Linked DNA regions of Macaca mulatta. The protein of the gene in region 3 purifies or fractionates together with the protein of the main gene of each other region. This does not show direct contact. Links are inferred from orthologs where the notes say so. Each region holds a gene or a part of one and is shown on either strand. Other genes may lie near its edges. The genes, in order: NSA2, MRTO4 and GTPBP4.

The links.
Region 1: the proteins of GTPBP4 (region 3) and NSA2 purify together in Homo sapiens (affinity purification with mass spectrometry; 3 studies listed by BioGRID and IntAct, counting the BioPlex papers as one, with this or other methods). This does not show direct contact. The link is inferred for Macaca mulatta from reciprocal best matches to the Homo sapiens genes GTPBP4 and NSA2.
Region 2: the proteins of GTPBP4 (region 3) and MRTO4 purify together in Homo sapiens (affinity purification with mass spectrometry; 3 studies listed by BioGRID and IntAct, counting the BioPlex papers as one, with this or other methods). This does not show direct contact. The link is inferred for Macaca mulatta from reciprocal best matches to the Homo sapiens genes GTPBP4 and MRTO4.

What each region holds. Positions count from the first base shown.
Region 1 is NC_133411.1:81,142,277-81,153,055, reverse strand, and holds the start of NSA2 (ribosome biogenesis protein NSA2 homolog), read right to left. Parts: upstream 6,895-10,779; 5' UTR 6,860-6,894; coding exon 6,857-6,859; intron 4,989-6,856; coding exon 4,801-4,988; intron 4,710-4,800; coding exon 4,559-4,709; intron 3,283-4,558; coding exon 3,103-3,282; intron 53-3,102; coding exon 1-52. Other genes in the region: GFM2 (ribosome-releasing factor 2, mitochondrial), read left to right, coding at 10,458-10,520. UniProt on the Homo sapiens protein: Involved in the biogenesis of the 60S ribosomal subunit. May play a part in the quality control of pre-60S particles.
Region 2 is NC_133406.1:221,718,101-221,728,749, reverse strand, and holds the start of MRTO4 (mRNA turnover protein 4 homolog), read left to right. Parts: upstream 1-4,730; 5' UTR 4,731-4,876; coding exon 4,877-4,904; intron 4,905-7,762; coding exon 7,763-7,821; intron 7,822-9,267; coding exon 9,268-9,371; intron 9,372-10,382; coding exon 10,383-10,464; intron 10,465-10,649. Other genes in the region: EMC1 (ER membrane protein complex subunit 1 precursor), read right to left, coding at 826-919, 1,162-1,227, 2,419-2,543, 4,461-4,555. UniProt on the Homo sapiens protein: Component of the ribosome assembly machinery. Nuclear paralog of the ribosomal protein P0, it binds pre-60S subunits at an early stage of assembly in the nucleolus, and is replaced by P0 in cytoplasmic pre-60S subunits and mature 80S ribosomes.
Region 3 is NC_133414.1:1,643,175-1,653,941, reverse strand, and holds the start of GTPBP4 (GTP-binding protein 4), read right to left. Parts: upstream 5,079-10,767; 5' UTR 5,052-5,078; coding exon 5,004-5,051; intron 1,733-5,003; coding exon 1,562-1,732; intron 1-1,561. UniProt on the Homo sapiens protein: Involved in the biogenesis of the 60S ribosomal subunit. Acts as a TP53 repressor, preventing TP53 stabilization and cell cycle arrest.

The DNA.
Region 1 (10,779 bases), on a different chromosome or scaffold from region 3:
AGGTAGCTTTCAGTTCAGGATGTGTTACATGGGCTTTCTTGAAACGCAAGCCCTAGTAAGTCAAACACAACATAAGAATGTTCACGTCCAAAATGTTAACAGTGATGAGTAGTGTTGTTTTTGCTTATCTTTTTCAACCATCTCCAAAAAACTATGGTTGCATAATGTCATCTTAAAGCAGCTAACAAAATATGTTCTACAAAGTAAAAACCTGATGGTTACAGTATAAATACGTAGGGCAAACACCCACACATATACTTAAGAATTTTATTTTTATTTTTTTTTGAGACAGGGTCTTGCCCAGTTGCCTAGGCCAGAGTGCAGTGGCATGACTTGGCTCGCTGCATCCTGGGCTTCTTGGGCTCAAGACATCCTCCCACCTCAGGCTCCTGAGTAGCTGGGACTAGAGGCACGCACCACTATGCCTAGCTAATTTTTGCGTTTTTTTTTTTGTAGAGATGGGGTTTCGTCATGTTGCCTGCTGGTCTTGAACTCCTGGGCTCTCAACCTATCCACCCCACCTCAGCCTCCCAGAGTGCTGGGATTCCAGGCCACCACAGCTAGCCTCCGAAAAGTTTTTTTTTTTGCCCTGAAACAGCTACCTAGCAACATCCTCAGATTTTTACTGTCTAGTCATCGACAGTTAGACTTACTAAGGACTTGATATATACCAGGCCACTATGCTAGCTCACAACTGGCTCACTTAAACACAATAACCTCACAACAAACACATCCCTCTCTCTCTTGTTTTTGAATGATGTAACAAGGAGCAGCAGGTTAAATGACTTGTTTCCAGATTAAATGGTGAGTGGTAAACAGAATCAAACCTAAATATCGTGATTCCAAGTCTTTATATACCTCAGCTACCTTCCATGATGAAAAAAGGAGTGGATTGTTAGCTTTCTTTAGGTTGATAGTAATATGAGACTGGAGAAGGCCCAGAGAGGTCTTTGTTACAGAAACTGGTTATGGAATCACCCAGTCACCTAATAGGGTCTTTTAGGGTGTAGTACTTCAAACATCACAACATTTTGCAGTCTTGATTTCTGCGTGTATGGGGATGGGGAGAAAACAACACTAAATCAGTTTCTTAGTAACAGACTCATTAATGAAGCTCTTAAGAAACTGACACCATTCAGGATGCCATCTGATTAATTCACAATGACAAATCTGTGAAACTACAGAAAACCTAGAGTAGCCTGACTTGTATATTCTCTCCCTGTAGAACTGGTAAGGCTACCCAAATATATTCAGAATATGAATACGAAACCAAAACAAGTCGATTCCATGATATAATCCAGAGGTGGGCAAACACTTTGTGTAAAGAACCCAAAAGGTCAACATTTTAGGCTTTGCCAGGCCATATGGCCTCTGTTACAACTGTTCAATTCTGGGGGTGGGGGTTATGCAATATGTAAATGAACAGGCATGGCTGTGTTCCATTAAAACTTTATTTACAGAAACAGGCTGTTTGCCAATATTTTAATCTATTAAAAATTACTCAGGTTGGCCAGGCGCGGTGGCTCATGCCTGTAATCCCAGCACTTTGGGAGGCTGAGGCGGGCAGATCACAGAGATAGAGACCATCTTGGCTAACATAGTGAAACCCCATCTCTACTAAAAATACAAAAAAATTAGCCAGGCATGGTGGCGGGCGCCTGTAGTCAGTCCCAGCTACTGCGGAGGCAGGAGAATGGCGAGAACCTGGGAGGCGGAGCTTGCAGTGAGCTGAGATCTCGCCACTGCACTCCAGCCTGGGCGACAGAGGGAGACTCCGTCTCAAAAACAAAAACAAAAAAAAATAGGTTGAACACTAGGATTTGGGCATGTTGCAACTTTCTTCTCTCTGATACTTTGTTTTTTTGAGGCTGTGTATCTAACTGGGAGAATAGTTCAGTCTCTTTGAAGGGATTTTGCAAAAATACATCTTCAATTATGTTTCTCCCCGGGGTGGGGAAGTTTGGGGTCATATTACTATTGCTGCCTTCAATAGAAATTAAGCTATATTAAATTATCTTCCTTTTTTCAAAGATTTTTTTTTTTTTTTTTTTTGAGAGTCTTGCTCTGTCCCCCAGGCTGGAGTGCAGTGGTGTGATCTCTGCTCACTGCAAGCTCTGCCTCCCAGGTTCATGCCATTCTCCTGCCTCAGCCTCCCAGGTAGCTGGGACTACAGGCGCCCACCACCATGCCCGACTAATTTTTTTGTATTTTTTTTTTCATTAGAGACGGGATTTCAGTGTTAGCCAGGATGGTCTTGATCTCCTGACCTCGTGATCTGCCTGCCTCAGCTTCCCAAAGTGCTGGGATTACAGGCGTGAACCACCGCGCCTGGCTTTTCAATGATTTTCAAGAGCATTTGGATACTTTCCTTACCAAACTGAAACTGACTCTTACAAAACAGTCCTAGTCAAGTTTTCGAACTGTTGTCAAAGACAAGAAGTGTTTTGAGACCTAGACAATATCAGGCATATAGCAGATCACTAGTTGAATGAGAAAATATGAAGAAAATGAAGATTCTAATATGTCATGTTTAAAAGTCAGAATTTACTGACAATGTCTTATGACAGTTTTCAAATCTCTTACGAAGCTGAAAAAAAAAAATATATATATATATATATATTTTTTTTTAGACGGATTTTTGCTCTTCTTTCCCAGGCTGGAGTGCAATGGTGTGATCTCGGCTCACTGCAACCTCTGCCTCCCAGGTTCAAGTGATTCTCCTGCCTCAGCCTCCCTAGTAGCTGGGATTACAGGCGCCCGCCACCACACCCAGATTACTTTTTGTATTTTTTAGTAGAGATACGGTTTCACTATGTTGGCCAGGCTGGTCTTGAACTCCTAACTTCAGGTGATTCACCCACCTCAGCCTCCCAAAGTGCTGGGATCATAGGTGTGAGCCACCGCACCCGGCTAAAGATTCTTAACTAGTGGAAAAAGTACTAAATAACTTCTATCACTAACTTAAAATAACAAAAATAGCATAAAAATATCTTCCAATCTGTTCCACATCAATTTAAAGAATTTCAGGAAATTATAACGTTCTTTATCCGATTTAACAAAGTGAACTAATATTTCAGTCATTACACTCTTCCAAGGACTTACCATTGGCCTGATAAATCTTTCATATTTAGGTGGTTTTCTTGTAAAGCCATCTCCAACAAAGCACACTTTAGTAACCATCCTCTTCCATGCTTTCTTCTTTCTCTTTCCTGTTCGAACAACTTTTAATACTTCTGTTTCTCCCTGGGCACGTACTTTAGGCAGAGGGACTTCCCATTTTCCCTAAAAATATGCCACAGTTAAAAGTTTACATTGTTATTAAAGGACAATGAGAATAAGTCAAGTATGTTTTAGTTGTACAAAGCAGTAGATCTATTTTTTTTTGCTTAACCATCATTGGCTCAACTGTTATTCTAGAGTTCTGTATTGTCTCATAAGCTGCAAATTAAACAGAACAAGTTTATATATCATGGGTACATTAAATAAATGGTTGACTTAAGCTAAAAATCTTATTGCTGTGTTATGGGTGAGAAAATACCACCTGTAATGTGGTGGTAATTTTTTTTTTTTTATTTTTTTTTTTTATTTTTTGAGACGGAGTCTCGCTCTGTTGCTCAGGCTGGAGTGCAGTGGTGCGATCTTGGCTCACTGCAACCTCTGCCTCCTGGGTACGAGCAATTCTCCTGTCTTACCCTCCCGAGTAGCTGGGACTACAGATACACACCACCACACCCAGCTAATTTTTGTATTTTTAGTAGAGGTGGGGTTTCACCACATGGTCAGGCTGGTCTTGAACTCCTGACCTCAGGTGATCCACCTGCCTCGGCTTCCCAAAGTGCTGGGATTACAGGCGTGAGCCACTGTGCCCAGTCGATGGTGACTTCTATAAGCAGTGTTATGTGTTTACTAATGTTTAACAGCCTAACACTGGACGAGTGTTTCCACCTCTTGTCTCTGTATTTCTTCCTGAAATGGATTTGTAGATTACATTAATAGTAAGACAAAGTCCTCACCAGATGTTTTATGCCTCCCTTGAGTGCAAATTCTATGAAAAAAACTGAAGTAGTGTAAGGCAGTAGAAAGAATTCTTTAAATATAGATACAGTATATTCTTTTATCTGGATTTCTGCTAATCTATTCACAGATGTTTTAAAAAGCCACATTTTTTGTGATAACTCAGGGAGTTTTCCACCATTCTGCTTTTGAACCAATTTTGGCACTACAGGACAGCACAAATAAGAAGCATTTGTATTTTTCTTTATGACTGCATAGCACTGTGGGTTTTCAAACAGGAAGACAAATATTGAATTTGAAATTCACTCCTTATCAGCTTTTTAATTTCATATGGCATTCTAATAATTTTTTTAAAACTTAAATTTTAGAACCTTATGATGGGAAAGCAAGTTTTTTTTATTACTAAATTTACAAAGACCTCAACATCTAAATAATGGGAATAGCTGTACTTCATGTTTGAAATTAAACCAAGAAACAAGAACCTCAAATTTGAATTTAAGTAATTCTCCTAAACAAAACAAAGACTTCAATTGTTATTGCTTACCGCCTTCTCTTTTCGTTTCTGTTTAATCATATTGGAAAGTACTTTAGCTCGAGATTGTCCCTCTCTGTCCAGCAGATAGGCAGGTACTGCTCCCTGTGGAGTCTTTTCATCATTCTTTTGTTTGGTGTTTCTCTTTTCATGCATCTTGATACTACCAAGAAGGAAAAAAGATTCAAAATTACCTGTTTTAATAATGATGACTCAAAAGATGTTAACTTGTCATGACAAATGAGACCACTTACGTCTTCTTCATTTGTATTTTTTCAGCATGGCGCTGTTTATGGTAAAGCTTAGCTTTCAGACCAATCATTTTCTTTGCCTTCTTTGAACGTTCATGAGCCTCTCGACTTTCCTTCTTTCTCTTTTTCTCATGGTAATCCAAACGGTATCCATAGCGTTTACGGTGTAATTCAATATATTCGTTCTGTGGCTATAATGATGCAAGAAATGTTATTTTAGTTTTTAAAAGTACTGACAATTATTCTAAAATGCTTGCTTTTACACAGCATAAAGACCCTGTTTCATCCAAATGTTCACTTACTTGAATGATTATTGCACCATTAAGTCTATTCACATGATGTAAGTTAAATTTTGATCTTGAATGGTATGAGGCATCAGGGCTTACATTTCTAATAATCTCAGTAGGGAATGTTCCAAAATCTACTGGACCACAAAAGGGATGAACTGATTACAGTATCTTTTTTCCTTGATATAATTTGCTTTTTAAATAACATCTTCATTTCACATTAAAAAAATTTAAGTTAGTTTTATTGAAGCATAATTTACACACAGTAAAATCTGTTCTTTTTAGGCATACAGTTCTAAGTTTTTTTTTTTCCCCCCTTTTCTTTTTTGAGACAGAGTCTCGCTCTGTCACCCAGGCTGGAGTGCAGTGGTGTGATCTCTGCTCACTGCAAGCCCCGCCTCTCGGGTTCAAGCCATTCTCCAGCCTCAGCCTCCGGAGCAGCTGGGACTACAGGCGCGCCCGCCACCGCGCCAGGCTAATTTTTTGTATTTTTAGTGGAGATGGGGTTTCACAGTGGTCTCGATCTCCTGACCTCGTAATCCGCCCGCCTCAGCCTCCCAAAGTGCTGGGATTACAGGCCTGAGCCACCGCGCAGTTCTACGTTTTTACTAACTACACAGTTCTGTAACCACCACAATCAAAATAGAGAATTTCTATTTCCCCCTAAAATTCCCTATGTCACTTTGAAGTCAATCCTCTTTTCCAACCCTCAATTTGATACCTATCCCTAGTTTTGCCTTTCTCAGAAAGAAACAGGGATCAACAGTAGTACATAGCCTTTTGAATCTGGTTTGGGATTCACCCAATTTGTTGCAGGTATAGGTACTTCAATTCTGTTTATTGTTGAGTAGTATGCTATTGTATGGATATACCACTGTTTACCCACTGACCAGTTCATAGGTATCTGGGTTGTTCCCAGTTTTGGCTGATTACGAATAAATCTGCAATAAACTGCATGCAAGTCTTCATGTGGACATGTGTTTACTGCCAGACCGTTTTCCAAAGTGCATTATTTTTCATTTCACCACCAATGTATGGGACGCTTTTTGCATTTTAGACACGTTTTATTTTAAACACGAGACCAGGCGTGTCTATTCGTATTTTAAGGCTGCAAAAATAAAAATGATACAAAGCCAAGTCCAGCACAGAGAACAGTGTTAAGTAACAAATAGCAAGGCGTGCTGCTACCAACTGCTATCATATAAACTTTGCAGCAATCACATGAAGGGTGTATGGAATGCCACTTCGCAAAGAAACGCAAGATGATAGAGACGTAACAGAAAGAGCATGGATCTGGCAGTTAGATCTGGGCCGTTAAGTCCGGCTTCGCAATTCATTAGCTGTCTGGTCTTCGGCAAGGACCCCTTCATTTTGACGCCTTCAGTTTCCTTAACAGTAAAATGAAAGGGGTGGGATTAACATCTAAGATTGTACAAGGCACAACCATATTCCCATTAGGCTCTGGTGCTGATAACCATGCTTGTGGTGAAATCAGTAATTTTTAGGACTCTTAGTGGTGGAGCAAAAAGAAAAAAAAAAAAAAAGAGTAAAATCTTGCTCCAAAGCTTGTGTTCTGGCAAATACCCTCTGTGTCTCGAATGTGAAGTTGTTTTCACTCCTTAGAGCGCACCCCACGGAGTCCACCATCCTTTTCCCTTAGCAGTTTTCATTTCCGCCTACCACCGCTCACCCCCTGCCCCAGCGTCCCAGAGCCCTCAGGTCCCACTAACTCAAACGCTGTATGTCGCGGGCGTCCGACGCATCCTCCTTACCATGGTGACGGCCGCAGGGCCGCCAGGAGCAGCCCCTGGGGTGCGAAAACGCTCTCAATTTTCGGGGCTCAAAGACCCACAAGCCCACTCCACGCAGGCCGGGACAGGAAAGGGTCGCCCTTTAAAACGGCCGAGTGAAGAGCAAGAACCACGCAGCGGTTCCGAGCCTCCGTTTTCCGCTTTTAGGTTAAGAGGACGGAAGTTGCTGGCAGGCGGCATTTGGCCGGTACACCGCCGGAAGTGCGGAGGTGTGGCTGCTTGAGGCGGCAGAGCGGAAAAATCCTAGCTTCATTTCGTTTAGGTACAAGGCCGTTTGTCTAGGCTGGTGTGGAGACTTGAGGCCTTTGCAGACTTTGGCGCGGCCCGCGCCTCCTGCTTCAACAGCCCAGCGGTGACGAGCTGGCCTGCGGCACGCGGCCTAATACCAGGTGAGTACTGCTCCGAGCTGTGAGACATTGCACGCCTGTGACCCTGTCCCGCGCTGGGTATTGCTGACCTTCCAGGCTGCGACAGACACAGCCAGCCACGGAGGAGGACAACAAGGCCTCCGGACTCCCCTCGGTGTTCGCTCAATATGGAAGTTTTTCTCTATCATTCGGCGAGGGGGACTCATCTTTGTTCCGGTCACACTGTAATGTGTGCACGATTGTGAAGGATGCTGAGGAATGAAAACTTAGTGTACAGAAAAATAGAACTACTGGGCCTTTGCAACTGTTAGAAAAGACGAAGATAACATTCTGTTTTTTTTTGGAGGTACAGGACTGATTCCAGAAATTTCTGAGGCGTTTTGGTGCACCGCATCAAATGCTAAGTGAGTGGACTTGTATTTAGTGGCCCCCTAGAGGCCAAGAAGTAATTCATTACAAGAAAAAGTACGTCTGCTTGAATACACTGTCAATTTTACCCTTTTACTGCACAGTTGCAGAAGTTCCTTTAATTACTTCACAGCTTGTACGTGATTCAGTTGATGAACAAAAAGAACTGTACCAAAAGAATACTTTCATTAATTCTTAGTGCTTGGATTTGAGGCAGTATTTTGTTTTTGTGGGTTTTTTTGAGACGGCATCTCGCCCAGTCGCCCAGGCTGGAGTGCAGGGGCGCGAGCTCTGCTCACCGCAGCCTCGACCTCCCGGGATCAAGCGATCCTCCGAGTTCAGCCTCAAAAGTAGCGAGTTACAGGCTCGTGCCACCACGCCTGGCTAATTTTTGTATTTTTTGTAGAGACGAGGTTTCACTATGTTGCCCAGGCTGGTCTCGAACTCCTGGGTACAAGCCATCCACCCGCCTCGGCCTCCGAAAGTGTTGGGATTACAGGCGCGAGCCACAGCGGCCGGCTTTGAGGCAGTTTTTGTTTTGTTTTGTTTTGTTTTGTTTTGAGACGGAGTTCCGCTCTTGTCGCCCAGGCGGGAGTGCAATGGCGTCATGTCATCTCACTGCAACCTCTGCCTCCCGGGTTCAAGCGATTCTCCTGGTTCAGCCTCCCAAGTAGCTGGGATTATAGACGCCCACCACCACACCCGGCTAATTTTTTTGTATTTTTAGTAGAGACGGGGTTTCACCATGTTGGCCGGGCTGGTTTCAAACTCCTGACTTCAGGTGATCCACCCGCCTCGGCTTTCCAAAGTGGTGGAATTACAGGCATGAGCCCCCGAGCCCGGCCTTTGAAGCAGTTTTTAAGGCTCCATTTTCTAAGGTGATATCATCATTCTCTTTAAAACCAGAAATAATAACTAGCATTTGTATATTTTAGGTACAGTACGTTATATAATCTCTTTGCCTGTAATGCACCCCTCCCCGCCGCCCCCCCCCCCCACCCCCCGAATTTCCTCCCTCATCTACTCCAGGTCTTTGCTTAAATGTCACTATTTGAATGAGGCCTTCCTTGATCTCTTTACTTCAGTTCTAACTGTCCCAATTCTTCTTTCCTGCTTAATTCTTCTCCACAGCACCTATCATCATAGGAGAGACTATGTGTTGTATTTGTTACTTTTGTTTGTTGTCTCTATCCCCTGACTAGGATAGAGGCAGTATGAGGGCAGAGATTGTTGTCTTTTGTTCACTGCAGTAACGCTAATATCTAGAAAGCAGTGGGTAGACAGACATGTAGTAAATTCTTTTTGAATAAATGGGAAGGAATAGGCTTGGGCGGGGGAGGGCTGGGTTATGCAAATTATCTTTTTATTGACAACCACTGAGTTAAAGTAAGAAGAGGAAAATGTCTATTAAATGTCTATTACAGTCGTAACTGTAGAGAGACTATGAGGCCCTGAACTTTGGCATTACCCATGAAGAGGGAATGGATTCAAGGCTGGGCATGGTGGCTCACGCCTGTAATCCCAGCACTTTGGGAGGCTGAGGCGGGCAGATCACTTGAGGTCAGGAGTTCATTACCAGTCTGGTCAATATGGCGAAACCCCGTCTCTACTAAAAATACAAAATTTAGCCAGGCGTGGTGGCACATGCCTGTAGTTCCAGCTACTCGGGAGGCTGAGACAGGAGAATTTGCTTGAACCCAAGAGACAGAGGTTGCAGGGAGCTGAGATCGAGCCACTGCATTCCAGCCTGGGTGACCCTGTCTCAAAAAAAAAAAAAAAAAAAAAAAAAAGGAAACAGATTCAAATATGTTTAGGAAATCAAATGAAAGTATTAGATGACTTTCTAAATAAGAGTAGTGAATGTTTCTTAGCTAAAATCCAGAAAAGAACAGACTTAGGAGTAGTAATGAGTTTTGACATATCTTCTTAATAACATGGATCACAATGGTTTAACACAAGTGTGTCTAATCTTTTGGTTTCCCTGGGCCACACATAAGATACACTAATGGTAACTAACAATAGCTGATGAGCTAAAAAAACATTGCAAGAAAAAAAAACTCACAATATTTTAAGAAAGTTTACAAATTTGTGTTGGGCTGCATATAAAGCTATCGTGGGCCGCATGTGGCCTGCAGACCATGCGTTGGACAAGCTTGGTTTAACGTGATCTGTTTGTCTCCCCAGCACCCCCAGTCTCAGCTGCGTCCTTAGATTTCTAATAGCTTTGATATTGTACTTGAAACGTAGTGAATATTTAGCAAATGTTTTTAAATTAAAGATGCTTAGTTTCTATAATCAGAGAGGAAGAGGACTTTTATATATTTTTTACATGATTTAGTTTTTACATGTTATGGTAGGAAAATCAGAATATACAAATGAACCAGTAAATTTTACTGCCAATTAGAAATTACCAAGTGTGGATTCTTAGTTTTTATACTTAATTCTATTCATTTACATAACAATGCATTTTGGTTGATACAGTGTTTTGTAATTTCAATAAGTTGATTTCTAATGTATCTCCATGTCTTTCTTTAAACATTACATTAACAAAAAGGGACATTTTAAGCCTAAGAACCATATTTCTCATATTTAATCAGAATTTTCATTTTCTGAATGATGCATTGTATTTTTGGTAGCTAAAAATATCATTCCAACTTTTTAAAAGTAATAGATTTTACCTTACATATGTCTAACTTACATATGCCTTGCTGACATGTAATACATAACTTTAGTTTTATAATTTTGTATATTTATTTTTTCAGACAATAACAGTTTGGAGGATCAAAATGTTGAGCAACTTGAGGATATGTGCAGTGAGTCATCAGACAATATCCAGTGTGCATATTAATGTAAGCATTTCTTACAAGATTAAATGTCCTTTAACAACCTCAGCTACTTTACTGCCTAAAATGCCCAGTATATCTCATCAGCTGTTTATTCCAGACTTAGTTGAGTCATAACCTTTGGAAATCTTCAAGCCAAACTAATTTGAAAGTAATTGCCTTAATTTATTAAGAAATATGAGAGGAAATTACCTTAATTTAAAAGTAAAAGAACAGCTGTAGCTAAATGCTGGTCTCATGGAGTACTAAAATGCCAGTTGTTTTT
Region 2 (10,649 bases), on a different chromosome or scaffold from region 3:
GACAGCAGCTGTCTCACAGTCCCGTGTGTTCCCATCGCCTGGGGCTCACCACACGTTTACCAAATGAATTACTATCAGAAGATATATAAGCTAATACAAATGATCCTATCATTTGAACAACTTTAGGGGCCGGGCGCGGTGGCTCACGCCTGTAATCCCAACACTTTGAGAGGCTGAGGCGGGAGGATCACGAGGCCAGGAATTCGAAACTAGCCTGGCCAACATGGTGAAACCCTATCTCTACTAACAATACAAAAATTAGCCAGGCACAGTCCACATGCCTGTAATCCCAGCTACTGGAGAGGCTGAGGCATGAGAATTGCTTGAACGTGGGAGGCGACGGTTGCAGTGAGCCAAGATCGTACCACTGCACTCCAGCCTGGGCGACAGAGTGAAACTATGTCTCAAAAAACTTAATAAATAAAAATAAATAACTAGAGCAAAGATGTAACAATAGGTCAAGTTATTCTTTAAACAAAACTAAACATTGGAAGTTTTATATTATGTTCTTTTATCTGGAACATTGCAAAACTCACAAATCACAGTGAAATTAGGAATAGCACACAAGCACAAGCGCAAACACTGCACCTGGAAACTCTGCATCTAACAGGTGCTCAATACATGTTGGCTGAGCAAGCATATCCACAACGGGCACTCAATGGCAATACATGTTGGCCGAGCAAGCATATCCACAATGGGGACTCAATGGCTGGCTCTCCAGTGGTCCCTGGGAAAAAGCCACAAGCCCAGACTTGCTGTCTGTGCAGATCTGTGTTCTGATAAATCCTTTAACTCAGTCAAGATAGAATCCAGTTTCTCCCCTACCTGCCACTGTCCAAGGTTATCTCCCAATTCAGGCCCCCGATGTTAGTCTCCCAGGAACGCATGATTCGGCCTCCACTGGACACAGTGATTGCATCTGGAAAAGAAAAGATCATGGTGAAGTCATTTCCCAATTGTTCTGTCGCCTCCTAGGGTCCCACTGTGAGCAATGGCCTCACCTCTGATTTCGGGATGCAAATACATGTTAAATAGGTATCTGTCCTTCACTGTCAGGAGTCCCCCATCTCCTTTCCCTACCAGATCCTGTACAGATGACAGAGCCAAGGAATGGGACAGGGAGCCGGCCACACAATGGAGACACAGGAGGACTCTGCTTACCCTGTCCGTGAAGCAGCATGGCATCCACAGCCCCTTCTGCCGTGCCCTTGTCAACATGGCGCCACACTGAGAGACATGAAAGTTAGATGTTACTGTGAACAGAAGGAGGCAACCCAGAAGACTAAGAGATAAATGAAGAGCTCTTCATTTGCACTGCAATGTCCAACTTTATTTCGAGGGAGTGAAGGAGTATGGTTAACTGGCAGTGATCCAGTACCATTCACGGGGTAATGAAGGTAGAAGGGGTTAAGAGGAGCCACTACTGTCCAGGCCCCACTGCCACCCCATCAAACATAAACAAACAACAATAAGATTAATAAAATCCATCCAAGTCATAAGAAAAATAGTGATCGGCCGGGCGCGGTGGCTCACGCCTGTAATCCCAGCACTTTGGAAGGCCGAGGCGGGCGGATCACAAGGTCAGGAGATCGAGACCATGGTGAAACCCCGTCTCTACTAAAAATAGAAAAAAAATTAGCCGGGCGCAGTGGCGGGCGCCTGTAGTCCCAGCTACTCAGGAGGCTGAGGCCAGAGAATGGCGTGAACCCGGGAGGCGGAGCTTGCAGTGAGCCGAGATTGCGCCACTGTACTCCAGCCTGGGTGACAGAGCGAGACTCCGTCTCAAAAAAAAAAAAAAAAAAAAAGAAAAATAGTGATCATAAATTCTATTTCCATTATTTTAGTGCCTTAATTTACACAGCCAGTGTAGGTAATTAAGTGAGGGTATGTGAGAGTTTACTGCAAAGTAGAATAATGTGTTTTCTGCAGCAGCATCTTTTTTTGAGACAAGGTCTTGCTCTACTGCGCAGGCTGGAGTGAACTGGCATGATGACAGCTCACTGTAGCCTCAACCTGCCAGGCTCAAGCAAGAATCCCACCTCAGTCTCCCAAGTAGCTGGGACTCTAGGCACACACCACCATGCCTGACTAATTTTTTAAATTTTAGACATAGGGCCTCATTGTGATCCCCAGGCTGGTCTCGAACTCCTGAGCTCAAGTGATCCTCCCGCCTGGGCTTGCAGCAATATCTTATTTAAGGGCACTCAGGATTCAGGCTAAGAGAATAAACTGCAAAGGTCAGTTATAGGAATATACAAACATTCAAAGATGGTAAGACTGAAAAAAGTATCAAAATCCACTAGGAGAGGCGTCTTTTGGCCAACATGTCCCTTATTCAGGAATCAGCCAAGCAGAGTTGGCAATGGTGAGCCTTCCATCCCTTAGGCAGCCAGTAGACACGGTTCCCAGTTCACTCACAGATCTCCCCAGTTCTGGAATTTAATGCTGCAATCACATTCTTCTCTGTGGCTACAACCAACTTCTTAGATCCAGGGGAAAATTCCAAGGAGGCAAACTTGAGCTTCCCAACATACTGCTGTCTCCTGAGGAAAAGAGTACAGGGGAATGTAAGGAGCTAAAATCACCATTCCACAAAATGCTCCAGAAAAGAACAAATCACAGGGCTATCACCATCACACTCATTTTAGGACATATAAGAAGTGTTTGTGGCCGGGCACGGTGGCTCATGCCTGTAATCCCAGCACTTCAGGAGGCCGAGGCGGGCAGATCACAAGCTCAGGAAATCGAGACCATCCTGGCTAACATGGTGAAATCCCATCTGTACCAGAAATACAAAAAATTAGTTGGGCGTGGTGGCAGACGCCTGTAGTCCCAGGTACTCGGGAGGCTGAGGCAGGAAAATGGCATGAACCCGGGAGGCGGAGCTTGCAGTGAGTCGAGATCACGCCACTGCACTCCAGCCTGGAGGACAGAGTGAGACTCCGCCTCAAAAAAAAAAAAAAACCGGAGGTGTTTATTAGCCAGGCTCTGTGGCTCACACCTGTAATCCCAACACTTTGCGAGGCCGAGGCGGGTGGATCACCTGAGGTCAGGAGTTCGAGGCCAGCCTGACCAACATGGAGAAGCCTCATCTCTACAAAAAAATACAAAATTAGCTGGGCATGGTGGCTCATGCCTGTAACCCCAGCTACTCGGGAGGCTGAGGCAGGAGAATTGCTTGAACCCAGGAGGTGGAGGTTGCAGTGAGCTGAGATCGCACCACTGCACGCCAGCCTGGGCAACAAGAGAGAAACTCCGTCTTAAAAAAAAAAAGAAAAAAAAGAAAAGAAAAGAAAGAAAGAAAAATCTTAAACGGAGTCTTTCCCCCCCATCAGCCTAGCCTGGCCCTGGGCTCAGAGCAGAGTTGCCCAAAACACTAAGCAGTTAGGAAATGCCATTCATTCATTCATTCATGAAAAGAAAATTGCATATATCTAGTATTCTGCAACATTAGATATATATATCACCTGCTATATATGTGTAATATACACATATGACATTGTGAACAGTTGTGCACATCATTAAAAATTTAACTTATGTTGCATTTGTCACACTGTCTGGCATAACAGGTACTCAACATATATGTGAATCAACTTTTTCAAGACAGAAAATACTTCAGAGGAGGAGAAATCTGAGCTGGGCCCTGAAGAATAAAGTGTAAAGAGCAATAATAACAGGTAACATTTAATGACTGCATTCAATGAGCCAGGCATTGTTCTAAGTAATTTAATTGGACTGTCTCATTCATTCTCACAAGTACTGTAATAGATAACAGACTGTTAGTAAACCCATTGTATAGACAAAGAAACAAAGGCACAGAGTGGTTAAGCCACTTTCCCCAAGATCACACAACTCTTAATTGGTAAAATTTAAACAAAAGCAAGCTACTTCAGGGCCTTAAGGAAGACGTGAGTGGGTGAATGAAGGAATGAATGGCATATTCTAGCTGCTCAGAGTTTTGGGCAATCCTGCTCTGAGCCCAGGGCCAGACTAGGTTGATGAGAGGGGGAAAAGGGTGCAGTTTAGGACTTTTAAGACGAAAGCTCCTGTTCAAATGCCTACAAGACACCAATTCGAGTAGGAATTCAAGTTCACTGACGGCGTGGCGACCTCTGACACCTGGTAGACCAGAAACCTGACAGTCAAAGAAATGGAACCTGACGAGGGAGAACGGGATCAGTGACCTCTGACCAGCACCCCAAGCATGCCTGGATGGCAGGGCCGGCTTACACACAAGGATCAGCTTAGAAGGACCCGTAACACTTGGTTTAAAGCTCTGCTTCGAACGACTTTAAATCCTTAATTTTTGAACAAGGCGCCCCACGTTTTCATTTTGTACTGGGTCCTGCAAATTATGCGGCCAATCCTGTTACATGACAACCCCCTTCCCTTTAGCAGGCAGGAGACAGGTACCGTGGAAACAGCCACTTATCTCTCGAATATGTTCTACACGTACGCACCAATCAAACTTGCCCACTTGGTCTTCGTAGACCGCGGCCACAGGAATCAGCAGCACAGCCCAAAGCCAGAAACGAGAAGCCCACTCAGCCGCCATGATGCGAGCGCAGGCACCGCCCACCGCCGTCCCGGCATGCACCGGGCCGCGGGCTCCGCCTCCGCGGGACCACAGAGTTGGGACCGTGTGCGAGGCCCTCGGTGGGCCGCTTGGGATTCGGGGATTTCCTCGGCACGCGGGAAGTAGCCTTACAGGCGCGGGAGAAAGCGCAGGTGGTGGCTCGGCAGAAAAAGGCAGGCTGCAGTGCACACTGGGTCAGGCACACGCGAGGGGCAGCCCCCGAGAGGCGTCCCAGAGGCCCCCGCGCCGCCGGGGTCCTAAAGGGGTGCACCGTCTTCCGCCGCACGTGGATTCAGCGCGATGCCCAAATCCAAGCGCGACAAGAAAGGTGGGCAAAGGGGGCATTGGGCCCCTGGGGGGACCTCCGTGGGTTGGCTGCCCAGCCTGCGGTGAGAGCTTCGGGGCGGCGGGGGCGCAGAATAGAACGCCAGGACATCCTCGAGGTGTTCCGCTGCCTCGCTGCTAGCTGGAATGGGGGCTTCGAGGCTGTAAAACCGCCAGAGGGGGCTGACGCCTGGTCGGGTCCGGGGAGCGGAGACTCTTGCCTAGTTTCAAGTGCTCTTACAAGGCCTACTGGGCCGGGAGGCAGCTCCTGAACACCGCCCCCGGCTGTGCCTGGTGCCATTTCGGCCCACTTTTCCCAACCTCGGCCCTTTCTCATCTTCCTGCGCTCCCGCCACCCTGGCTGCCTTTCCCCGTTCCCTTCTTTCAGCACAGGCTTTTTCTCGTGTCTGGCGTTGTGTGTCTGCGGTTGTTTCTGTCTGGCATGCTTACCTCTTCGTATGGCTTGCTCCTTCTTAGTTGTCAGTTAATAGGACTCTTCTGAGTCAGGGTCTCGCTCTGTTGCCCAGGCTGGAGTGCAGTGGCGCCACAGGCCGGGTGTGGTGGCTCACGCCTGTAATCCCAGCACTTTGGGAGGCCAACGTGGGTGGATCATCTGAGGTCGGGAGTTCTAGACCAGCCTGGCCAATATGGTGAAACCCCGTCTCTACTAAAAATACTAAAAATTAGATGGGCGTGGTGGCGGGTGCCTGTAATGCCAGCTACTTGGGAGACTGAGGTGGGAGAATCGCTTGAACCCGGGAAGCAGAGGTTGCAATGAGCCGAGATCGCGCCACTGCACTCCATCCTGGGCGCGACAGAGCGAGACTCCGTCTCAAAAATAAGTTACTGCAGCCTTGACCTCCTTGGCTTAAGCGATCCTCCCACCTCAGCCTCCCGAGTAGCTGAGACTACAGGTGCACGCCACTACACCCAGCTAGGTTTTGTTGTTGTTGTTGTTGTTGTTGTTGTTGTTTTATAGAGACGACTTTCAGTGTGTTGCCAAAGCGGTCTGGAACTACGCCCGACTTGAGCGTAGTGGCTCACTTAAGAGACCATTTTTGACCACCTTTGCTGTGGTGGTATCTCTTTTAACCCGACTCCCTGGCATACTCAAAAATATTCAGGGGTCTGGCACTTTCTAGGCGTTGGAGGATACAGCAGTTACAAAGAAGGCCTGTTTCTTATCGAGCCTAACGTTTCAGGGGAAACACATTCCACAAAATGCTAAAAATCAGATTGAGTAAAAGTGGGGTGAAGAGACGGCAATATTTTGTATAATGTGGTCAGGAAAGGTCTCACTGATGAGGCGACGAACAAAATTAAAGGAAGCGAGCAACCTGTGGAATTGTGCACCTGTGGAATTATCTGGAAGAGTGCTGTTGCAAGTAGAGGGAACGTAAACTGAAAAGGCTCTGAAGTGGGAGCAGGTTTGACATGTTTGGGACAAGAGGCCAGTGGGGTTGGAGCAGAAGGAGCCAAATACAGTTGGGGGAGGGGTTAGGCAGAGAGGGCAGGGCTTCCTCGGCCTTAGTAAGGCATTGGCTTTCCTGCCCAGGTGAAATGGGTAGCAGAGGACTCATGTGATTTACCTTTGCTTATAAAGGGTCACTCTGGTTGCCTTGGTGAGAATAGTTGGGGAAGACAGGGCAGAGGGCAGGGATGGAAGCAGTGAGACCAGCATTAATCCAAGAGAGGGTGATGCTGACTTGAGCCAAAGGTGTAACAGTGGAAATGATGGGAAGTGGCCCGCTATATTTCGTTTGCCCCCCTCTACTCCACTTACCATTGACTGATGTCAGTGTCTTTGTCTGTGTGGTACCTTGTTAAGAGGGGCTGAGTGCCGGGCAGGTTAAAGAAGAGAGGCCCGGGTCCCTTTGTGAAGGCGCCCGGGGCTTTGCAGTTGGAGTTCTGTTAAGTGTTTGTGGAACGATTTGATTCTGTGGAGGGGGCCCAGGTCAGGTCTGGCAAATGCAAACTCTCTGGGTAGAGGGCAAATTGGGCCCCAGCCATTTTTACAGTAGAGGTACATATTCCTCCCCAGAGAGGTGTTGCTGCATCTGTGGGTCCAGGTTGCAAAACTGGAGTGCAGATACATAACAGGAGATTCAGTCCCCAGTCTCATGGTTGCACAGCATAGGCCAGCTAGAGTGGCCTCTGCATCATGGTCAAGAGCAGCAAGGGGCCGGGTGTGGTGGCTCACACCTATGATTCCAACACTTTCGGAGGCTGAGGTAGGCAGATCTCTTGAGCCCAGGAGTTCAAGACCAACCTGGGCAACATGGCAAAACCCATCTCTGCAAAAATACAAAACTCACCTGGGCATGGTGGTGCATTTCTATGGTCCCAGCCAAAATTAGCAGGCCATGGTGGGGTGTACCTGTCATCCTGTGGGAGGATTGCCTGAGCCCAGGAGCTCAAGGTTGCAGTGCGCCAAGATCGTGCCACTGCATGCCAGCCTGGGTGACAGAGTGAGATCCCATCTCAAAAAAGAAATAAATAGGGGCCTGCCTCAGCCAGCAGGTGAGGTCTGCCACTGAGAGCACTCCCAGCGGCAGGAACAGTCTCCACCCCCACACCGCAGTCAAGTTTTCTGGGTGAGCCTTAGGGGCTAAGAAAGGCCTAGTTTGTCTAAATAGCAGGAGTTATATCCAGAGATCTTCAGGGCCAGGATGCTAATGAGTAGGCATTCCGTGGGCCCTGGAAATGGCTTTGTGTGCCAGAAATGATGGCCACGAAGGCCTTGCTGCCTTTTTTCAGAATGGCTGCATCCAACTGAGCTCTCTGCCAAAGGGGAGAAAAAAATAAGTGTCCAATGCATCTAGATTGGTCCCTCATCATCTCTCTCCTTTTTGTTTTTATTAGTCTCCTTAACCAAAACTGCCAAGAAAGGCTTGGAATTGAAACAAAACCTGATAGAAGAGGTAAGAAGTTTTCTTTTTCTAGAGCTTGCAATTGTTCGTTTTATCAAGGTAGGTATAGGACTGTTGGCCAGGGGAGCATACTATTGGAAAAAAAAAAAATCTCCAAGCTGCTAATCCAGCCCTTTTTCCTCCAGCAGCAGCACCAGCAAAAACTTCCATAGTGATGATTTCCAGCTTTGACTAGCTCATACTCTGTGCCCTGTCCTGCACTAAGTGTTTCTTATGTGTCATTCTACTCTATCCTCATAACATCGCTGAGATGTGGGTACTAGGTGATGATGTTGCTGTTTTGCATTTGGGGTCACTGAAGCTTATAGAGGTTTGTTAGCCTGCCCAATGACAAAAAACAGGAGGAGGCCAGGAACGGTGGGCCACGCCTGTAATCCCAGCGTGGGATTACAGTAATCTGGGAGCCCAAGTGGTCAGATAGCTTGAGTCTGAGAGTTCAAGAGCAGCCTGGACAACATGACAAAACCTCATCTCTACAAAAAGAAAAGAAAAAAAAAAAGCTAGCTGGACATGGCAGTATGCAGCCTGGGCAACAGAGTGAGACCCTGTCTTTAAAAAAAAAAAAGCTGGCCGGGCGCGGTGGCTCAAGCCTGTAATCCCAGCACTTTGGGAGGCCGAGACGGGCGGATCACGAGGTCAGGAGATCGAGACCATCCTGGCGAACACGGTGAAACCCCGTCTCTACTAAAAAAATACAAAAAACTAGCCGGGCGAGGTGGCGGGCGCCTGTAGTCCCAGCTACACAGGAGGCTGAGGCAGGAGAATGGCGTAAACCCGGGAGGCAGAGCTTGCAGTGAGCTGAGATCCGGCCACTGCGCTCCAGCCCCGGCGACAGAGCGAGACTCTGTCTCAAAAAAAAAAAAAAAAAAATAGCTGGGAGATTTACCAGGTGTAGGTGACTGCACCAACCCACTGTCTGTACAGCTTCTGACTTGCCAACCTGGGCTGCAGGCTGGATGAAACAGTCTCCTTCTGCACAATGACTCCACTCCTGGAGGCTGCCTCCTGGTGGCTTTGGCCAGCACCACCTGCAGAGCAGTGCTGATCAGCTGCCTCCCCTTATAACAGTGAGGCTCCATATGCTTCCACGTAGCAGGACCCTTCGTAGTGTGGGTGAATGTTTCTAGGTTAACCGTTGATGGTCAGTTCCACTGTTGGTCATAGATAAGTGAGAAACCTGGAAAAGGCCGTGGGGTATAGATCCATGGCTCAGCCTCCCCTGTAGTTAGGGATCCTAGATCCATGGCTCAGCCTCCCCTGTAGTTAGGGATCCTAATTTCAGTAATAGAGGTAGGAGACAACCCAATTAGAGGCCTCCAGTTCTTCCAGTTTCCATAGTTGTCAGGGGCCCAGAGCAGATTCATTCTCATCTGAGGCCAGAGTAGTGCCCATTGTATACTGCTGCTTGAACTCAGAGCCTGGTGAATTGTCCCACAGCTTCGGAAATGTGTGGACACCTACAAGTACCTTTTCATCTTCTCTGTGGCCAACATGAGGAACAGCAAGCTGAAGGACATCCGGAATGCCTGGAAGCACAGCCGGTGAGTGGGCAGGGGGAAGAAGGCCCTTCTGAGTGGGGACCCGGCCAGGCTGCTCTCAGTCAAAGTATAGGAGCAATTTCTGACCCTTTAGGTGCCTGGGTCATGCCACTGACACCTTAATAATGACAAAGTGCTACCTGCCACTGAAGAGCACTTCCTTTTCACTGTTACAGCTGGTTTTGGGCCGGGTGCGGTGGCTCACACCTGTAATCCTAGCACTTCCGGAGGCTGAGGCAGGCAGGTCACCTGAGGTAGGAGTTTGAGACCAGCCTGGCCAACATGGCAAAACCCCTTATCTACTGAAAATACAAAAATTAGCCGGGCATAGTGGCGGGCATCTATAATATAATCCCAGCTACTCGGGAGGATGAGGCAGAAGAATTGCTTGAACTCATGAGGTTCAAGTGAGCTGAGATCGCACATTGCACTCCAGCCTGAGTGACAGAGTGAAACTCCATCTCAAAAAGAAAAAAAGCAGATTTTGCACTGAGCTCCTGGGGGCAGGACTTGGCAATTGAGATGTTTGAGAGGTGGTCCTTTCCAGAGAAGTGGCCCTTTAACCCTGGACTTTGGGCCATTTAGGAGCATCACACCAGTTTTAGAATGTCAGCATGGGCACTGGGACACAGACAGTGACCTGGGAGCAGGATGCAGGAGCCACATGGCCAGTTTCTGTCCTGGAGCAGGTGGCTCTGGTGTTGGTCTTCTGCCGCCCCAGCTCTGGTTCAGGCTGTTAACGTGCCTCCTGCATACATCCAGATGGAGAACTCGTACATGATGCTCGTGATGGGCTGGGAGACAAAGTGTTGCCATGTCAGGGGTCTGTGGGTGGGAACATAATGAAAAGGACCCCGAAGTGGGGACAGTGTGGCCAGGCAGCATGGAGAAGTGAGTGCCACTGGCTCAGCCTGGGCCTGAGCTCACTGGGGACCAGAGCTGCTTTGCATGTTGCTAAGGGGCGGGGAGGGCAGGGCACTTCCTTCACAGAATGCTCTTTCTCTTGCTTGGTAGGATGTTCTTTGGCAAAAACAAGGTAATGATGGTGGCCTTGGGTCGAAGCCCATCTGATGAGTACAAAGACAACCTGCACCAGGTAAATCTCTGGTTTTCACGGGGTGGGGCTGAGGCAGAGCCGCCTTCTCTCCCACTACTCCCACGTGATAGCCTCCCCTAGCCGTCGGCTGGCCCGTGGCTCAGGGAGAGCAGGGCCTGGCTTAAAGCTCTGGGTTCTCCCTTCACCTCCGGACCCAGGGAATAGCACCCTTCCTGCCTCCCACT
Region 3 (10,767 bases):
CAAGAAACCATTCACTCATTCAACAAACATCTACTGAGCAACTGTGTCAAATCCTAGACAGATGCAACCTAAGTGTCTGTCCTCTAGCAAGAATTTTTGCATTTTATTTTAAGTACTTCTGTATTTTAAAAATAAGCCATTATTGGCTGGGTGTGGTGGCTCACGCCTTTGGGAGGCCAAGGCAGGCGGATCACCTGAGGTCGGGAGTTTGAGACCAGCCTGGCCAACATGGTGAAACCCTGTCTCAACTAAAAATACAAAAATTAGCCAGGCATAGTAGCAGGCACCTGTAATCCCAGCTACATGGGAGGCTGAGGCAGGAGAATCGCTAGAACCCGGGAGGTGGAGGTTGCAGTGAGCCAAGGTCGTGCCACTGCACTTCAGCCTGGGCAACAGAACAAGACCCCGGCTTAAAAAAAAAAGCCATTATTACTTGTTTAAATATGAAGTACTGTCACAGAAGCCAAATGTTTCCCTCTGCTTACATCTGCCTTCAGCAACTATTGTGGGGCAATGGCGGATTTAGGCTTTGAGACTATACTGCTGATCCCCGCACCCTTCACAACCTCAAATAACCTTGCAACCACATTACCCCATGCGTGGTGTCATGAGGCTTTGTCAGCAGTGCCTGCCAAGCAGACACTGCTCTTACTTTTCTACAGCTAAAGAAACAGGCAGGCCGGGCGTGGTGGCTCACGCCTATAATCCCAGCACTTTGGGAGGCTGAAGCAGGTAGATCACTTGAGGTCAGGAGTTCAAGACCACCCTGGCCAACATGGTGAAACCCCGTCTCTACTAAAAATACAAAAATTAGCAAGGCGTGGTGGTATGCGCCTGTAATCCCAGCTACGCAGGAGACTGAGGCACAAGAATTGCTTGAATTCAGGAGGCAGAGGCTGCAGCAGGCTGAGATCACGCCACTGTACTCCAGCCTGGGCGATAGAGACTCAGCCTCAAAAAAAAAAAGAAATAGAACAGGCAAAACAGGCAAACTGCAATGTGCAGCAGTGAAAGGAGCTCAAGGTTTCTGGCTTCATTCAAAAGTCACAGCTCCCACGTGATCTCTTCTTGCCAAAGAAGAAAACAGTCAGTGCTGAACTGTCATCAGCTGATGAAGCAACAAGATCACAAACAGTGGTGGAGTTTACACCACTCACCCAAGCTGAGCCCAGAGGAATAAAACCCTTGGAAAGAGGGTGCAGGAGATGAAGCCCAAACAACCAGTGAGCTGTCAGCTTCTGCATTCATAACCCACAGCTATCATTACCACTTGGGTTGGCACCTGTAAGCCCAGGGGTTACACAGAAAGCCTGAGAAGAGAGCTTCGGGCCTCCTTAGATGGGGTTTAGTTGGAGGAAAGAATACTAGGGAATCAAAAAACCCATATTCTGTTCCCACTTTTATTAATTCAACAAATTAGTTATTTGCCACTAACTTATTGAGTAATCTAAGTAATTTACTTTGTTTCCTTTTCTGTCAAATGAGTACACCAAACTGGTTAAACACTGATTCTCTGAAGGCTCATATTTACATAACCACAGAAGTCCCCCAAGTCACTTACATCCAATTTAGGGAAATCTGTTAGAATTTGTGAAAGTCTATCATGGTAATTCTGTTGAGTAAATTTGACTTTTCTCATGTAAAAATGTCTAATGCGATGAATTTGGTAATGTTTATGAATAACAGTTGGAGTCTTTCGTTGAGTCTTCGACAATGTCAGGTCAATAAAGTCCTGCAATTAAAGAAAATAAAACATAATTACATCAAAAGTGTCTACTTTTGATCCACTTATTTGAAACCTTCTTAAAACACTAATTACAGTACTACATATTTTAAATTACAAAAATTTACTCTAAACATTTTATGTACAACCTTGTTCATCTTCAAACACACGGCTGCTAAGATAAATTTTACGCCACACTTTCTTGATGCTATCTTAATTTCCAAACACCTAAGAACCTTTGAAACTTAAGTAATCAGAGAACTCAAATCATAAATTAGAAAAAATAGTTGAGAAAAAGAAACAATCCTCCCATTTCTTTATGCATATCTTTGACTTTGAAAGTAGATAAAATAACAGGTAAAACTAAAATCCACTTCATAATTTCCTAAGAGCATGGAAGGGAACTACTTGAGGAGATGAAGGATTTTTGCATGAGTTGCCCAGTGCAAAGAGTCAGCACTTCTCTTTAATAAGGATCCAATTCCCAGGATTCCTCAATCCAGTGTATCTAGTCACACAAAATTACTTGGATCTTTTTTCTTGAACACTTTGATTAATTCAACAATTTGATTAACTCAATATTATTTCAAACAAAGGTTGTTAAGGATACTTGGGTGCTGAAGATAATGAACAAGATACTGTCCCTTCCTTCACGGAATTCAGGGTCCAGTGACAGAAGTAAACACGTAGGCACAACACAGTCTGCCAAGTATTATACTATGAGGGGCACGCACCGTCTCCCCTCTGGGTCTACAAGTGAGACAAGTAAACAGGTGGTCACAACAGTCTTCCATGTACTATGAGGGGCACACACGGTCTTCCCTCTGGGCCTACAGAAGATCTTCCCTACATTTTTCTGCACCTAATGGCGTTCACACATCCTGAAGGGGGACCAGTTCAAAGGTTACCTACTTCATAAGATTGCCCCTGACTCTCCAACTTACCACAGCTAACCGCACTCTTCTCTCCCAATCCATGTGGGTCCTCCATGATAACAATGTTTCATTTCTAGTATGGTCATTCATGATGCCACTTACCCTTTTTTATTTTGTTTTGTTTTGTTTTGTTTGAGACAGAGTCTTGCTCTGTCGCCCAGGCCGAAGTGCAGTGGCAGCACAATCTCCGCTCACTGCAAGCTCCGCCTCCTGGATTCACGCCACTTTCCTGCCTCAGCCTCCCCAGCAGCTGGGACTACAGGTGCCTGCCACCACGCTCAGCTAATTTTTTTGTATTTTTAGTAGAGACGGGGTTTCAACGTGTTAGCCAAGATGGTCTCGATCTCCTGACCTTGTGCTCTGCCCGCCTCAGCCTCCCAAAGTGCTGGGATTACAGGCATGAGCCACCGCGCCGGCCTCGACTTACCCCTCTTGACAACGACTTCCAAAGAGGCAGGTATTTTATCTAATGCATTTTTGTAACACAGTACCCAATGCATAGGACAGGCACTCACTTAACAGCTTCTAGAATGAACTGAATACCACACACTTTCCTGATGTGATTTTTTTTTTTAACTTCCAATCACCAAACAATTACCATCACCCATTTTTTAGGTGTAAACTCATCTGTTCTCTAAAAATACAAATCTCATTCCACAGAAGATGGATGGTGTACTAACATATCCTAAAGTTCTCCACATAAGTCAATAACATGAACAAAGTTCATGTAATCCAAAGAGCAAATTCCTTCAACAAACTTGAGAGATGGCTGACCAAAAATACAAATAAGACATGATTCCTGCACTCGAAAATACTACAATCTGGCCGGGCGCGGTAGCTCATGCCTGTAATCCCAACACTTTGGGAGGCTGAGGCAAGTGGATCACGTGAGATCAAGAGTTCAAGACCAGCCTGGCCAACATGGTGAAACTCCATCCTACTGAAAATACAAAAATTAGCCAGGCCTGGTGGCCTGCACCTGTAATCCCAGCTACTCAGGAGGCTGAGGCAGGAGAATCACTTGAATCGGAGGCGGAGGCTGCAGTGAGATGAGATCCACCACTGCACTCCAACCTGGGCAACAGAGCGAGACTGCATCTCAAAAAGAAAGAAAGAAAGAAAATACTACAATCTATCAAGAGATGTGTCAGAACAATTGTCAGGAAGAAATGAGAAATGGAGAGAAGTGGGGAAACAATTATTGCTATGAAGGTAAAATACGAGACTCCCACAAAGCTTTCCAAGGCAAGCTCATTCCGTTGTTAAGACGTGAAGAAAAGGAGACACTGATGAGAGGAAAACAGTCACTCTGCAGGGACTTCAGTAACTCCCTCTTGTGCAGCAGTCCCTGAGAGGCTCGAGTTGCCCGTCAATGTCTCTGTAATTGCGGCCCAAATCGAATGTTCACTACATAAAAACATGACTTCTTAAAAGTCGTAATACCAGGGCCGGGTGTGGTGGCTCACGCCAGTAATTCCAGCACTTTGGGAGGCCGGAGCGGGAATTCGAGGGATCTCGAACTCCCTGGGATCTCCCTGGGAGACCTGGGATCAGGAGTTCGAGGCCAGCTTGGCCAACGTGGTGAAACCCCGTCTCTACTAATAACACAAAAATTAGCCGTGCGTGGTGGCGCACGCCTGTAATCCCTGTTACTCGGGAGGCTGAGGCAGGAGAATCGCTTGAACCCGGGAGGTGGAGGTTGCAGTGAGCCTTGATCGCGCTCCAGCCTGGGAAACAAAAGCGGAAAACTCTGTCTCGGGGAAAAAAAAAAAAAAAAATTCTAACACTTAACACTTGTTGACTCATTCTTGCCACACTAACCAACGCTGTAAAAATTTAGTCTGGGCCTACTATGGTCTAAAAAGAACAGGGGTTCCCAAATCTAACAGTGAAAGAGAATGACTTAAAAATTAAGAAATGTTAAATCACGATAGCAACGAACCGAGGATTCCTGAGAGGGGAGGGGGCTACGCCAAATCCAGAATCTGAAGGCTCATCACGGACCACGGAGTGCTTCCTCCCTCACATGTTGGGGTCCCCTCCACTCGCCCACCTCGTCACCCGGAGCCCCTCCAGGGAACCCTACTCTGGGTGGACCCCGATCTCTGGGGGCCCTCAGTCTCTGGGTGGACCCCGGTCTCAGGTGGACCCGGGTCTCTGGGGGATCCGATCTCTGGTGGACCCCGGATTCTGCTGGGGGAGGGGAAATGATCTCGAGTACCCGTCCGGCAGGTCGGGCCCGGGAGCGGGTGGTGGGCGAGCGGAAGGCGACCGCTCTCCCACGGCTACAGGCCCGGACCCTCCCCTGAGACCCCGCTAATGAGAAGGCGAAAGTAGCCACCTACCTTGGCGGACGGAACCACCGTAATTTTCTTGAAGTTGTAGTGCGCCATGCCGGCTGCCGTATGCACGCGGGTACTGGGCACTCCCGGAACTTCCGCCGTCGGGAGCAGGAGGGACTTCCGCCGTCGGGCGCTTGCTGTACGTCACTTCCGGGAGCCAAGCGTGTCTTGCGTGCTCTATGGCGCTTTCGGCGTCGCACAGCGCACCCGCCCGGCCTGGAGGTCCGCCGCGGAGAGTGTGTGAGGGCCCCGGGAGCGAGGGCGCGGGGGAGAGGACGCCTGGGTTTTAGGGGGCGCGCGGAGACTAAATTCATGCTGGGTAAAGAAGAGGCTTCCGACAGACTGCCCTGCGGGTTTCTGGAGCGGGTTCAGGCCCCCAGCCATCCGCCCTGAAACAGGGTTCGAGGGGGGTCTTGGGATTTGGGGGATGCGGGGCTTAGGAGTCCGGAGGGTCGAGGGTATCCGGGAGTCTGGGCGTCCGGGGTCGCGGCGAGCCCCGCCGAGGAGGAGGGAGCCGCGCGTGCGGGGTGTGCCCGGGCTCTGGGTGTAGAGCGGGTGACACCCCCCACTCTGATCCCGGGCGGTGGTGAGGAGGCCCTCGCGGCTCCCCTGCAGCCCTCCTTTCTCGTGCTTGTTAAATCCCAAAACGGGCGGAGAAGGGAAATCCTGATCTCAGGCGAAAGAGGTGCCGCTGGTTCCGCAGAGTGCCTTAGGAGAGCGGAGGAAGCAGTTTCGAGAGACAGTCCTGTGGGGTCCAACAGAGGAGAAAGGTGATGAGGATGGAGCCTTTACTGCTTTAATGTTTGTGAATAGTGTGGCCGCTCCCTTAAGGAACCCAGGGCCACATCCTGTAAATTAAACGTTAGGTAGGGCTGACTCACTCAAGCAGTGTTCAGAGCTGTTGACTACATATTAACTCGTTTAATTCCTGCAACTGCCTCATGAAGTGCGTGGGGAAACCCAAGGCACAGCAAGGCTCGAAAGCAGCCCAGGGTTGTGCAGCTAAGGGGCAGCAGAGGTGGGCTTTGAACCCAGGCAGCCTGGCTCCAGCAAACCTACTTCTAACGATTAGCTATACTGCTTCTCACGCATCTGGGATGCCCCCCACTCTCCAAACCTTTTAAATAAGTCCTATTATTCTTACACGAAAATACCTCTCATAAATTCCCAACATTCCAATATTGAAAATCATTCTGAGTCATGCTTTTCTCATCTATTAACTATGCTTCCATTTTTGTGTCACAAGGCGGATAAGCATACCTCCTACATCTCTGGCACTTCTAAAGGAAGCTTCTAGGGTAATTAGGATTCGCTGGCTATGATCATTTGCTAAGCCGCAGGACAGTTCTGGCCACCATTTCCGAGATTAGCAAAGCTATGCTTATACTTACTGCCCTTTCTTTTAGGTTCTTATATGTTTCCTCAGCATCTCCCACTTTCTCTCACTCTGATATAGCCAGTTCCTCTTTCTTTTTCTTTTAATCCGATATTTAGATACTTTGCTTCAGATGGGCAAACATCCTTAATTCTTTTTTTTTTTTTTTTTTTTCTTCAAACAGAGTCTCACTCTGTCACCCAGGCTGGAGTGCAGTGCCACAATCTCAGCTCACTGCAACCTCCGCCTCCGGGGTTCAAGCAATTCGTCTGCGTCAGCCTCCCGAGTAGCTGGGATTGCAGGCACCTGCCACCATTCCCAGCTAACACTTTGTATTTTTAGTAGAGACAGGATTTCACCATATTAGCCAGGCTGGTCTCAAAACCTGACCTCAAGTGATCCACCGGCCTTGGCCTCCCAAAGTGCTGAGATGATAGGTGTGAGCCACCTGCTTTTAACTTGTTCAGCTACAAAGGCATGTCTGTGAATGCACAACCATAATGGCTCATCATGGGCCCAGAGCTATGACCATGGTAAGGTACCAAGCATCCTACACCATGTGCGTGTTGATAAGAATCAACATTTTTGCCTATTCTTGTGATTTTCTGGCTGAGTATAGCTTCTTGGGGGCAAGTGTGTGTTCTACACCACCAGGAGCAAGCTTCTCTATTGATAGACTTCTGGGCTTCTCTGGAGAAACCAAACGCTAAAGGCCTTTCTGAGGAGAGTCAGAAACGCTGCCTGCAGTATGAGGCACATTGCCAATTCTTGACTGTGTTAACGGAGGTTCCAGCTACCAGGATGCCTCCGAGTGTGTGTACCTTGTGACAGAGAAAGGTACTTCTCAGCCGTAGTAAAGGATGCTCTCAAGGGTACTCTGCAAAGCTTCTGACTGCCAGGCACTTCTCAGGGAAAAGCTTCGTTTTTCAAATCTCTTTGTTTTGTGGACTTGGTATTTTCTGTTTTACCTTCTTGTTGCTGTAATTCTGATGAATGAAAGGTACATTTTGCAGAATTGAACTTCCTGCCTGAAAGGAGCCTTTGCATGGGGATTAGCCATCAGTAGCCATCCGGTCTTAGAGGGTCCTAAGAGTGCTCCATCGGGCCCGTCAGCCACTTCCCTGGATCCCCACAGGAACTCATTCAGAACGAGTCACATGCTGCTTTGTACCTGGATGCTTCCTCGTGTACATCATGTTTGCAAAGGAAGTAGCCAGCTCTTCGTGGACAGGAACTGTGTCTTACTCTTCTGCCATCCCTCCCCTCAGGCAGCACTGCCGAGAGCATTCGCAGTGGCCATGGAACTCTGTTGATTGAATGTTGGCTTGAGGAAGTTCCTGATGTAGTTGGGCCTGTAGCAGTTGGGATCTGGCTTCTGCGATACTCAAGTAGTCCTACTGAATTACAGTACCGTCAGAACCCTGTGCACAACCCTGAAATGGGTCAGAACTCCACACTGTGCCATAAAGAGGAAAATTGTCAACAGGGAAGTCTAAGGAAACACCCTCCTTTGTGGAAGGCAGCAGTGGCATGAGAGCCACCCTCTGGGCCAAAGGTGCAGCCTGACATTCTCTGCAGAATTACACCATGAGTTAAGAGTGTGAGCTTCGTTTCTGAGATACAGCTCCACCCCCTCTGATCCTGGGAAAACTTATCAGCTTCACCAAGCCTCTGTTTCTTCACTCTTTGCTCAGTTACTATCTACCAGGCATGTTAAAAATACTTTATGTGAATTATTTTTGCTTTTCACTAACCCTATTCTACAGGCATTAATAAGTGAGCAAAGAGATTCTCTATTATTTGTTACGCATTATTATGTATTATCTATGTTCTTATTAACTACTTAGTTACAATAACGTTTGCTAAACTTTTGTTCTGTTCATTAAATTCTCGTTGAACCTTAACAACTGCAAAGCAGGGAGCCTCCACCACATGCCGGGTCACTTGCTTTCCTTCTCGGGACAGCATAGTGAGGTGGGTGTGATTGTCTCTGTTTCACAGATTAGAGTGCTGGCTTTGATGTGGTTGGATGCTTGCTCACCGCCACACAGCTGGAGAGACACAACTGGAGGTGAGTCCAGGGAGCATGGAATTCCAAAGCCACTCTCCTTTTGCACTGTCAGCCAAGAGTGGCTTTGTTCTTGACCTCTTTAGGGTTATTACCTCGTTTGGTATTTGTTTGTTTGTTTATTTATTTATGAGATAGGATCTCACTCTGTCGCCCAGGCTGGAGTGCAATGGTGTGATCTTGGCTCACTGCAACCTCCACCTCCCAAGTTGAAGCAATTCTCAGATTTAAGTGCCTCAGCCTCCCGAGTAGCTGGGACTACAGGTGCACGCCACCACACCCGGTTACTTTTTGTATTTTTTAGTAGAGGCGAGGTTTCGCTGTGTTGTCCAGGCTGGTCATGAATTGTTTGGTATTTACATGGAGGTACATGATGGATTGCACTTGGGGTCATATGCTGTCAATAATCCCCCAGCACCTGTGTTTCACTAAAGCACTGTTTGGATACGCAGACAGGTTGTTTCTTCTGTGAGAATTCCGTTCCTGTGTGTGCATCATGACAGGCACCTGTGCTAATGAACTTCTGCCCTTGCTCACGTCAGAGCTGCTGATAAGGGCTGTTTCCATGGGTTGAGTAAGAGTCATTCAATTGACACACTGTTAAAAACATTCTTTGCATTCTGCTGTTCCCTAAAGGAACAATTTTAGGTTTAATGGAAATCTTCCGATCTCTTTTCCTAGAGAAGATTTGTGATAATAATAAACATACACGTATTTGGAATGCATGTACTTATGCTTGTATGATCAATTTCCAAACGATTCTAAATATCTGCAGGCAGAATTTCTTAAGATTAGCATTCTGTGCTGTACCCAAAAAGATACTCGAGATAAGCAAAGATAAGTTTCATATTGCAACAGACATCTGAATCTTTGGTGTTTATGGAAGCTGGTTAAGCAGGTGGTTGTGATGTCTGACCCTCAGGTTAAAAACAGCGAAAAAAATTCACTTTGATGATGTGACGTTATTGTCACAAGTTTAATAATTGATTTTGAAGGTCTGCACAAGGAAACCATAATGTTTTAGCAATTTCCGTTTTCCAGAGGGAGGAGGCTTAAAATTTCAATTCCAGCCCTGCCACCAACTTCTAGACTAACAGTAAGCTAAGTGCCTTTCCCGCTATTATTTTTAATTAAAAACATATTATTTCCTCACAAAAGCATAGAGGTATAAAAATAATATTTGCTATCAGAATGTATCTGTCTGGACAGTCTAAATTATCCTATGATAACAAATAGTCTCCAAATCTCAGCATTGGTTGTTTCTCTCTGATGCTTCATGCCCACTGCTCTGGACCAAATTGAGTCTCCCCAAATTCCTATGTGAAAGCCCTGACCCCCATTGTTATGGTATTTGGAGATGGAGCCTTGGGGAGATAATTCGGTTCAGAAAAGGTCACGAGGCTGGAGCTCTCCTGGTGGAGTTGGCATACTTATGAGCACTTCTGAGAAAAGATACCAGAGGGCTGCTCCCAGGCTTCCCCGACCCCATGCATGCACCAAGGAGAGACGATGTGAGCACAGAGGGAAGGCAGCTTTCAACAAGCCAGGCAGAGGCTGCAACCAGAACCCAACTATGCTGATGCCCTGATCTTGACCTTCCAGTCTCCAAAACTGTGAAAAGAAAATTGCATGTTATTTAAGCCACTCAGTCAGTGGTATTTTGTTATGGCAGCCCAAGCTGGTTGAGATACCCACCACAGGTCAGCAGGGGCCCCTGTTCAGGATGGTCATTGAGAGATCAGACTCCTAGAATAAAGGTTGACAATAGCTATGCCGAGGAAAGGGGAATGAGTTTGACAATCAAATGTTTCAGTCTCAGCTCCCATGTGCCTATTTCTGGACAGTGAGTTGAGAATAACAGAGTTATTTGTAAACAGTACTGATGCCTACCGCATTGGCATCTAAAGCAGATGCTCTTTAAATCTGTGTTCGGTTGAGCTGGGCACGGTGGCTCACGTCTGGAATCCCAGCACTTTGGGAGGCCGAGGCAGGCGGATCATGAGGTCAAGAGTTCGAGACCAGCCTGACCAACATAGTGAAACCCTGTCTCTACTAAAAATACAAAAAATTAGCTGGGCGTGGTGGTGCGGGCCTGTAATCCCAGCTACTTCGGAGTCTGGCTCAGGAGAATCACTTGAACCTGGGAGGCAGAAGTTGCAGTGGGCCAAGATCACACCACTGAATTCCAGCCTGGGTGACAGGGTGAGACTCTGTCTCAAAAATAAATAAATAAATGAAAAATAAATCCATGTTCAATTGATAATCCAAATATGGTACAACGTATAATGCCAAAATACTTCTGTTTAGAAAATCCGAACCTATGA